Rattus norvegicus: one gene and its partner. Each later gene encodes a partner of the first gene's protein in a complex. Links are inferred from orthologs where the notes say so. Each region holds a gene or a part of one and is shown in the gene's direction. Other genes may lie near its edges. The genes, in order: Flt1 and Vegfb.

Region 1 (4,334 bases):
GGAGAGCAATTCGAGGCAGAGTGCAGGAGCACTGACCCTAGTGGAGGGTTGTAGAGAAAGCAGAACCGGGAGGGGAAGTCCGCAGGTGAGCTGCGGCTCATAGCGGCCTTTCCTTTCTCCTGACCACGAAGGAGAGAAGAATTTCCCTGGCCTTGGCTCAGCGGCTCCCGCTGCCCTAGGAGAGCTGCGGGAGTGGGGGTGGGGGTGGGGGGGGTGGCGCAGACTCTCTTAGCAGTGAGGCAACTCGGGTTGCGCAACCTTCCCTACCGGAGATTTAGTCTAGTCCTTCAGGAAAAGCCTCTGGTCCCATTTAGGAGCCATTTTATCACCGGCATCTGGCAGGTTGCAATGAGCTATTTTTCAAACCTGCAGTATTTACAGGGACAAGACCGGGCTGCTCCGGGGAGGCCGGGACGACTTCAGCCTTCCAGTTAATGGATACATAATTGAGGAACAACGTGGAATTAGTGTCATCGTAAATGATCTAGTGTCTCAAGTTAATTTCACCCGTTTTTGTTCCAAGAACATTCGAGTCAGTCATCTTGGCTAGCCGGCTTCCACCAAAAAGATTTCTTTTCCATCCAGCGTTTCAGACATAGAGTTCAAGTTCTTGGCCCTTTACAAGTTGCAGGAGCGTGTCTCACGCCTTGGCTTTTGAAAAAGGTAACATGTTATTCCTTGTTTTGCTTCTAGGAAGCAGAGGGTTGAGGAAATGGCTTGGGCGGGTGCATTAATGCAGCCGAAAAAGACACAGACTCCCTCCCTTGGGACCCGCGCGGCCCCGCGCTCTTTCCGAAGGTGCCTGGCAAGGCGTCCGGTTCCTTCGGACGCTCCGGGTCCAAGTGCCTTAAGCGGAGGGTCTCTGGCGCCTTCCTTCGCCGTCTGGGAACAGTCTGGCGGGGTCAGGGACCGGCGGGACCGCTCAGGAGAGGGCTCGACTGCGCCTCGTTCCTCGGTGCCAGGGACACCGTCGCGGGGGCGCGGCCAGCTTCCCTAGGATAAGACTTCCCGCCCCGGGGGCAGGGCGGTGCACTTCGCCGGTCCCCTCCTCAGTTTCGGGCGGTCACCAGAGCTGAGTAAGCCCGGTGGAGGGAGCTGGGCAAGGATTTCCTGAGAGCGATGGGCAGGAGGGGCGGGGGCAGCAGGGCACCGAGCAAGGACGCTGAACCTGCGAACCTGCCCCGGGACCCGCGCGCCTAGCGCCACCGCACGCGCGCTCCGGCCCCCAGGCCACCCGCCCTCGCCGGCCCCCGCCCCTCCGGGAGGAAGAAGAGGGTAGGTGGGGAGGCGGATGAGGGGTGGGGGACCCCTTGACGTCACTAGAAGGAGGTGCCGGGGTAGGAAGTGGGCTGGGGAAGGTTATAAATCGCCCCCGCCCTCGGCTGCGCTTCAGCGAGGTCCTCGGGAGGCTCGGAGCGCGGTGGCGGACACTCCCCGGAGGTAGTGGTGGTAGTGGTGGCAGCAGCTCCGAGCGGGCTCCGGGACTCAAGCGCAGCGGCTAGCGGACGCGAGACTGGGAGGATCCCCTCCGCCCCCCACACCACCTCGGCTGCAGGCGCGAGAAGAGCTCTCGCGGCGCCATCAGGAGCAGGAGGGGACCGGCTCGGGCGGCTGCTCCGTCGGCCTCGGAGAGCGCGGGCACCGGGCCAGCAGGCCGCGTCGCGCTCACCATGGTCAGCTGCTGGGACACCGCGGTCCTGCCTTGCGCGCTGCTCGGGTGTCTGCTTCTCACAGGTGAGACGCGCCGGGGACCACGAGTTGGAGCTCGGCGGGGTTGGGCAGCCACGGGGTGGTCCGGGAGAGCGAGACTACAAGCGGGCAAGCGAGCTCCGGCGGGAGCCGGGGACACTTGTAGCAGTGGGTACGCCTCGGGACACACATCTTTTTTCCTCTCCCCCAGTGGGCGCCGCTGGAAGTTGGCATCACTGTTCAGACTCTCCTTAGCTCCGCGCTGGGGTCAGAGCCAGATTATCTGCGGAGTGCACCCGGAGCCGCTTGTCCCCTGCCAGGCTCTGGGGTAGGCGCTCGCTCCGTAGACTCTGGAAGTGCAGATCACCACACTGGTGGACCTTTTTGCATCCAGAGCCCGCTCCCCGGCTGAGGCTGAGTCCTCTAGGGTTAGCTAGAGCGAGCTAGATGTCAGAGAGGCTGCCCGGGGCTGGACAGAAGAGGGCTCGATAGCGATGATCTCGCTCTACCAGAGCAAAGGAGGTCAAATTTGGGAAGGATCCCGTGCCCGCGGCGAGCAGATGGAGCCAGCAAAGGGCCAGCTCTGGTTCCCGTACCCGCTTGGGACCGTCCGGAGGAAGTTGGGGAACGTACAGCGGGCACAGTTTCTTCCCCGCAGTTCGCTGAGCGCTGTCTCTCGGGTGGGGCCTCCGCGGGTGCGGGCCGGTGTGCGGTCCAGGTCGTCGGCGTGAGTGACTCAAAGCGCCCGGCAGCCTAGGGTCCAGTCTTCAAGTTTTGGAAATTTAAGCCCTACCTTTAGGTTATGAATCAAGGGGGGAGGACCTGGCAATTTGGACCGAAAGCTGTGGTTTAAGGAGTAGGTGAGGTATGCACATCGCCTAAATCAGCCTTCACTGGGATGTAAAAAGCGCTGGGGAGGTGGAGGGGAGGACGGATCAGGGACCAGCAGATTTTAAGAGCATTTAATGTGGAGACCTTTGTCATCCAAGGGTTAAAAAGCTGAATGGAGCTCGGGAACTCTTAACTCCAGGTCTGCAGGCACGAGGGGCGAAGGATCCTGTGAGGTCGCTTTGGGCAGAGCCAGATACCAGAACACCTTTCTTTAAAGCAACGTGGTTGGGGAAAAAAGGTAGAGAAGAAAGAGTCAGGATTGTAATGGCCCCAGAAAGAAAGGCAACACGGATTTTAAAGGCAGTAAGAACGAGCCTTTAGGAATGAGAAGACTGCACTTCCTTTCAAAGTAATGAGCAGGGGTTTATAATTAAAATGGATTGAAATGGTAAAGCCAGAACTCGACATGGGCTGGCTAGGTTCTAGAACAATGATATTAAACGAGTTCTTGTATTTTCTATTTCTCAAATGTTTTTGAAGAGCTGCTTATTCGAAATATAATCGCTTAGAGAGTTTAAATACTAGTTTACTATATAAAGGCAAAAGCTAGCTTAAAAATTACTGCAAACCCCCAAGTTATAGAGGGGGAAAACCCATGTCTCATTGGATTTTCTGCTTCGCACACGTGTCTTTACTTTTAAACTTTAAAGCGTGGTTGGTTTTAGCTAAGCGTAATTTTATATGGGGTTGAGACCAGCAGAGGCAGATTGAAGCAGTACAGAAACGGTACGGGTAACGGGTAACGTACGGAGTCGCTTTGCACCGGCTAGCCAGGCGCTGAGCCCCATCGGGTGTTAGAGCCTCTTTATTAGTTACGAACTACAATACTTTCGGGTCCTCTTTGTAGCTATGGAGACCACTGTCTCTTAAAAAGTTCAGTCTCCTGTTCAAGGTTTAAGACACCACACTCTTGTTTAACTCCATACCCTTGATTAACACCACACCAGCGTGCACTTCTTTTGCTCACCTCTCTCTCTCTCCTTCTCTCTCCCTTCTCACCCCTTTATCCTTCCCTCTCCCCCTCCCTTACTTTTCTTTAAGCAGCTAACATTTGGAGTTTGGTAGAACTAGTTAGAAATACTTAAATTTTGGGATTGGGGTGTGTGTATGGTAACTCTGAGTTAAAATAAAAATTATGCAAATATTAACAGCCAGGTGTGAGGGCTACATCCATATTCCAAGAACTCAAGACCTAAGGCAGAGGGATGGTGAGTTCTAACCAGAGACATTGGCTCTAAAGGGAGTCCCTTTCTCGATAAATTAATAATAATAATAATAATAATAATAATAATAATAATAATACCTATTTCAAAATTGAATAGAATGCATTTCTCATACATAGTTTTACATAGTGGTTTCTATTTTTTTTCTCCAAGACTTACAGAGCTGTGCTTTTCCCAAAATGGCATATTTTAAATGGGACTCTTATGGTTCATGTTGCTTTCCAACTGATCAGTCATCTTGCAGATAAACTGTGAACTAGGGTTTCTTTGAAAAAAAATCTTTTTAGTGCAGCATTAATTTTTTTCCTGGTTGAAAAGTCTTTAATAGGCTATATAGTTTCTTTTCAAATGATTCCCCAACTGGCATTTTTTTTCTTTTAAAAATTGGCAAAATTAAAAAATATAGTTGATTTTTTCCCCCCTCTATGCAAGAGTTTCTCTGTGTAGCCCTGGCTCTCCTGGAACTTACTCTGTAGACCAGGCTAGCCTCTGCCCTCCCAGTGCTGGGATGAAAGGTGTGGGCCACCACTA
Region 2 (4,335 bases), on another chromosome or scaffold:
AGCCAGCCACAGCAGCCTATGACCTGCATAGTTTGTCTCTCTCAAGTTAAGAACTTTGTGAAATCAAGAATTGGAGCCTTGCCTTGCTGGGTAAAGGCAGAACTGCACACAAGGGCTAAAGTTGTTTTCTGTTTCTCATTGCTTGAATGTTAATCTTTGACGCTGCTTGTTGTTAGGGCTGGAGCTATCCAAAACCATACACAAAGAGGGCATGGTCAAAACCCTGGGGTTCTCTCTTAGCACTTCATAAATGAGTTTTTACTTCCCAAGTGCTGGGATTAAAGGTGTGAAGCATCGCCTCCCAGCAATGTTTTTTAGAAAGTTCAGGGTCATCCTTGGTTACATACCAAGTTTGAGGCTAGCCTAGGCTACATTAAACCGTGTCTCAACATAGAAAGAAAGAAGATAGAGGAAGGGAGGCCAAGCACAGTGTCACAGCCAGTCCTTGATAGCTGCCACTTTCATGCATGCTGTAATACCAGTTTTCTGCAGCATAGAAACTCAAAGGATGGAACCCACTGTCCGCTCCATCTAGCAATGGAGATGAACTGCTCCCTGACTTCAGAGCTGTTTCACCAACCTCCACAGGATAGCCCGGGACTTAGGGTACTACCCAGGACTTAGGGTACCACCCAGCTCTGGGACTTGGGCCACTTGTATCTTTCTTTCAACTCATCACAGGTGTCTGTTATGGGGGAGAGATGTAAAGTTGTGTGAGATATGCTAGAGCCTGGTTAGATCAGGGCTTAGGGACACCAGAGTTCAGAGACTCGGGGTTAATTGCAGTTTCCTCACAGGAAGCTGGAGCAGGTGCATCGCAGCTTCATGGACGAAAAGGATCGGATCATCACAGCCATCTACAATGACACTCGGGCCAGGGCCAGGTCTGTCACTGCTCTGACTTTGCCTCCTGCTTCAGCACCACCCTCCAGGATCCCTGTCCTGATCTGTCTTTCCTTCCAGGGCCAACAGAGCCAGGATTCAGCAGAAGCACCAGCAGAGGCAGCCTCCAACAGAACCCTCTCTGCCTCCAGAAAGTTCCAGGATCATGCCCCAGGACACAAGCCAGTGAGAGGCTTACCTAGGTGGGACCTGTATTGGTCCTCCCCTTGCTGCCTGTCTAGGACTACACGTGCAATAAACTCATATTCAGACTCCTATCCGACTCGGTCCTTCAGGTCACTCATCTCCTCATCCCTCCCCTCGTGAGGCAGCGACCCTGGGAGCCCGGCCTCCAGGGCGGTGTGTCCCCTTTCCCCTGCAGCGGCCGGAGGGGGCGTTTGGAGGGGACCGGCTCCGCCCCCGCCCCGCCTCCGCCCGCAGCCGGGTGGGGAGCGCGTGTTTAGGTCACATGAGCCTCTTGTCCGCCAGCCCCGGCCAGGCCCCCTGCCACCCCCGCCGTCCCCGCTGCCCGCCGTCCCGGCCACCACCACCAACACAGGCCGCCTGCCTGTCTCGTTCCTTCTGCCGCCGCTGAGGCGCTACGTTGCGCTGCCTGCGCCCAGGGCTCGGGAGGGGGCCGCGGAGGAGCCGCCCCCCGCGCCCGGCCCGGGGTCCCCACACCCGGGCCCGCGCCATGGGACTCTGGCTGCCGCCGCCCCCCGCGCCGCCGGGCTAGGGCAATGCGGTCGCCCCCGGCGCTCGGCCCCCGCGGGCACCATGAGCCCCCTGCTCCGTCGCTTGCTGCTTGTTGCGCTGCTGCAGCTGGCCTGTACCCAGGTACGTGTGTTAGAGACATCCCGCTCGCTCGCCCGCCCGCGGTGCCCTCTCAAGGTTGGCGGAAGTGGGGAGGCGCCCGCTACTTCTGCCAAGGGGATCCGCTGTTCAGACCGGGAATATCCCTGAAGAGGTGCCCCTCGGCGCAGGCCCGGCAGCCCTAGCTCTAGCTCCCGGGGCCACTCCCCCACCTCACCCCATCCTCTGGGCGGTTGGAGGGCGGAGCTGCCTCAGTGCCCTCCGAACCTCGTTTGTCTCCCACTATCCCGGCTCCTGACTTAAAACAAGCCCCAGCTCTAAGGCTTGGGGTTTAGCACCATTCCCAGAGTATGTCTGGTGGGTCTTGGACTAGGGAAAGTACCAGATGGCTGCGTGTACAAGAAAAATTGGAGCCGAGGTCCTGGGAACAGAACAATCTGGAAAGATGTCAGAAAGGCACAGAAGCCTGACTCAATCAAGGACAGAGCCCTTACATAGCCACAGGGCCAGCCCTTTTAGAGTGCATCTTGGGCCCAGGTATCTTCTTTCCTACAGGCCCCTGTGTCCCAGTTTGATGGCCCCAGCCACCAGAAGAAAGGTAATAATAGTTAACAATAACTTGACACAAGCCAGTACTGAGAGGGGTTAGTTAGCATGTGTTCTGATTTCATGACTCTTACCTTGTGTGATTTCCAACTCCTTCGGGAGATGCCATTTCACAGAGGAAGAAACTGAGGCAGAGGGCTTAATCATTTCTTGAGAAACACGGCAGAGAGGTTTAAAGGATGGTTGGGGTGGTGGTGACAGGGTATCAGAGAGGCTACATGCTCAAAGGAGCTGCCAGAAACCCGATAAGAACGTAATCCATCTGGGTCTGCCCACAGTGGTGTCATGGATAGATGTTTATGCACGTGCCACATGCCAGCCCAGGGAGGTGGTGGTACCTCTGAGCATGGAACTCATGGGTAATGTGGTCAAACAACTCGTGCCCAGCTGTGTGACTGTGCAGCGCTGTGGTGGCTGCTGTCCTGACGATGGCCTGGAGTGTGTGCCCATTGGGCAACACCAAGTCCGAATGCAGGTACTGGGGCCTATGGGTCAGGCAGGCTGATGGGACAGTGATGTCCTGGGGACTAGGTCAACCCAGAGACAGGTACCCAGGAGGTGGGAGGTTCTGGTCATTCCTTCTCTAGCCCATCTAGTATCCCCTTTCTCTGTCTTTCTGCTGCCCCCCCCACCACTCACTGTCTCTTCCCCATTCTCCTGAGTACAGATCCTCATGATCCAGTACCCGAGCAGTCAGCTGGGGGAGATGTCCCTGGAAGAACACAGCCAATGTGAATGCAGGTGCCAGCCAGGTCCAACCCTTAAGTTCACAAAGTGTAGCATGGGGTGGGGGTATCAGGCATGGGACTGTACCTTACTTAGTAGGGATTAGGTGACTGAGAGCAGAGCCAGAAGTAGGCATGGATTCTGGGGCAAGAGAGCAGGAGGTTTCTTTAATCAAGCGCGCGTTCTCTCTCTCTCTGCCTCTCTCTCTCTCTCTCTCTCTCTCTCTCTCTCTCTCTCTCTCTGTCTCTGTCTGTCTCTGTCTCTGTCTCTCTCTCTGTCTCTCTCTCTCTGTCTCTCTGTCTCTGTCTCTCTCTGTCTCTGTCTCTCTCTGTCTCTCTCTCTCTCTCTGTCTCTCTCTCTCTCTCTCTCTCTCTTATTTTTCAGACCAAAAAGAAAGGAGAGTGCTGTGAAGCCAGACAGGTGAGTTCCTGGATTTCTTGGTGCTGGTCCAGGAGAGCTTATGGGTGGGTTTGGGGGTGCCAGGAGCCAGGAGACTGCAGCCCTTCTGCTTTCTCCTCTCTCCTGACTCCCCTTCCCCTTTATACTCCCCAAATCCACACATTCTGACCTATCCCTAGCTCCTGGGAAGACTCTTCCCACCCCAGACATGATGCTTCTCCTCCTAGGGTTGCCATACCCCACCACCGTCCCCAGCCCCGCTCTGTTCTGAGCTGGGACTCTGCCCCGGGAGCATCCTCCCCAGCTGACATCATCCATCCCACTCCAGCCCCAGGACCCTCTGCCCACGCTGCACCCAGCGCCGTCAGCGCCCTGATCCCCGGACCTGCCGTTGCCGCTGCAGACGCCGCCGCTTCCTCCATTGCCAAGGGCGGGGCTTAGAGCTCAACCCAGATACCTGCAGGTGAGGAGTCTGTGGGGTGGCACTGGTGTGGGAAGGCAGCAATGCTGCGTCCTGGGGCAGGTCCAGATGGGCCTGCCAATGGTGGAGAGACCAGGGAAGGAGGAGACAGCTGCATGTGTTAAATCACTTACTGTGCATCTGCTGGCACCCAGATCATCAGAAACTTAGCTCAAGACTAGATGCACAAATCAGATGGTGAGAGAGATGGTGTCACCACCAATAGAAGATGCTAAGCTCTATGACAGGGACAACGATCTAATCTAAGCCATCAACCATCTCCTGGAGGGGAACTCAAGAAGACTTTTTCCACGGGCTTTACACGATAGATATTTGCTCCATTCTGTAGGCTCTGAGAGAGCAGAGATGTATGAGAGAGAGCCTCGAATACTTAAGTAGCCCTTCTCTGTTCCATAGTGAGGCCCTGGGATGATTTATGGGCCAGGCCC

Evidence for each region.
Region 2: the proteins of Flt1 (region 1) and Vegfb are in contact, whole or in part, in a crystal structure (PDB 2XAC), measured with the Homo sapiens proteins. The link is inferred for Rattus norvegicus from reciprocal best matches to the Homo sapiens genes FLT1 and VEGFB. Residues at the interface, in NP_002010.2 of Homo sapiens: Tyr139, Glu141, Pro143, Phe172, Pro173, Tyr199, Ile202, Gly203, Leu204, Asn219, Leu221, Arg224, Thr226; in NP_003368.1 of Homo sapiens: Ser37, Trp38, Ile39, Tyr42, Thr43, Thr46, Cys47, Gln48, Pro83, Asp84, Asp85, Gly86, Leu87, Cys124, Arg125, Pro126.

What each region holds. Positions count from the first base shown.
Region 1 is NC_086030.1:12,331,995-12,336,328, forward strand, and holds the start of Flt1 (vascular endothelial growth factor receptor 1 isoform 1 precursor), read left to right. Parts: upstream 1-1,435; 5' UTR 1,436-1,670; coding exon 1,671-1,734; intron 1,735-4,334. UniProt on the Homo sapiens protein: Tyrosine-protein kinase that acts as a cell-surface receptor for VEGFA, VEGFB and PGF, and plays an essential role in the development of embryonic vasculature, the regulation of angiogenesis, cell survival, cell migration, macrophage function, chemotaxis, and cancer cell invasion.
Region 2 is NC_086019.1:213,604,222-213,608,556, reverse strand, and holds the start of Vegfb (vascular endothelial growth factor B precursor), read left to right. Parts: upstream 1-1,404; 5' UTR 1,405-1,659; coding exon 1,660-1,719; intron 1,720-2,250; coding exon 2,251-2,293; intron 2,294-2,579; coding exon 2,580-2,776; intron 2,777-2,968; coding exon 2,969-3,042; intron 3,043-3,411; coding exon 3,412-3,447; intron 3,448-3,653; coding exon of another isoform or gene 3,654-3,754; coding exon 3,755-3,889; intron 3,890-4,041; coding exon 4,042-4,057; 3' UTR 4,058-4,335. Other genes in the region: Dnajc4 (dnaJ homolog subfamily C member 4), read left to right, coding at 798-884, 964-1,072. UniProt on the Homo sapiens protein: Growth factor for endothelial cells. VEGF-B167 binds heparin and neuropilin-1 whereas the binding to neuropilin-1 of VEGF-B186 is regulated by proteolysis.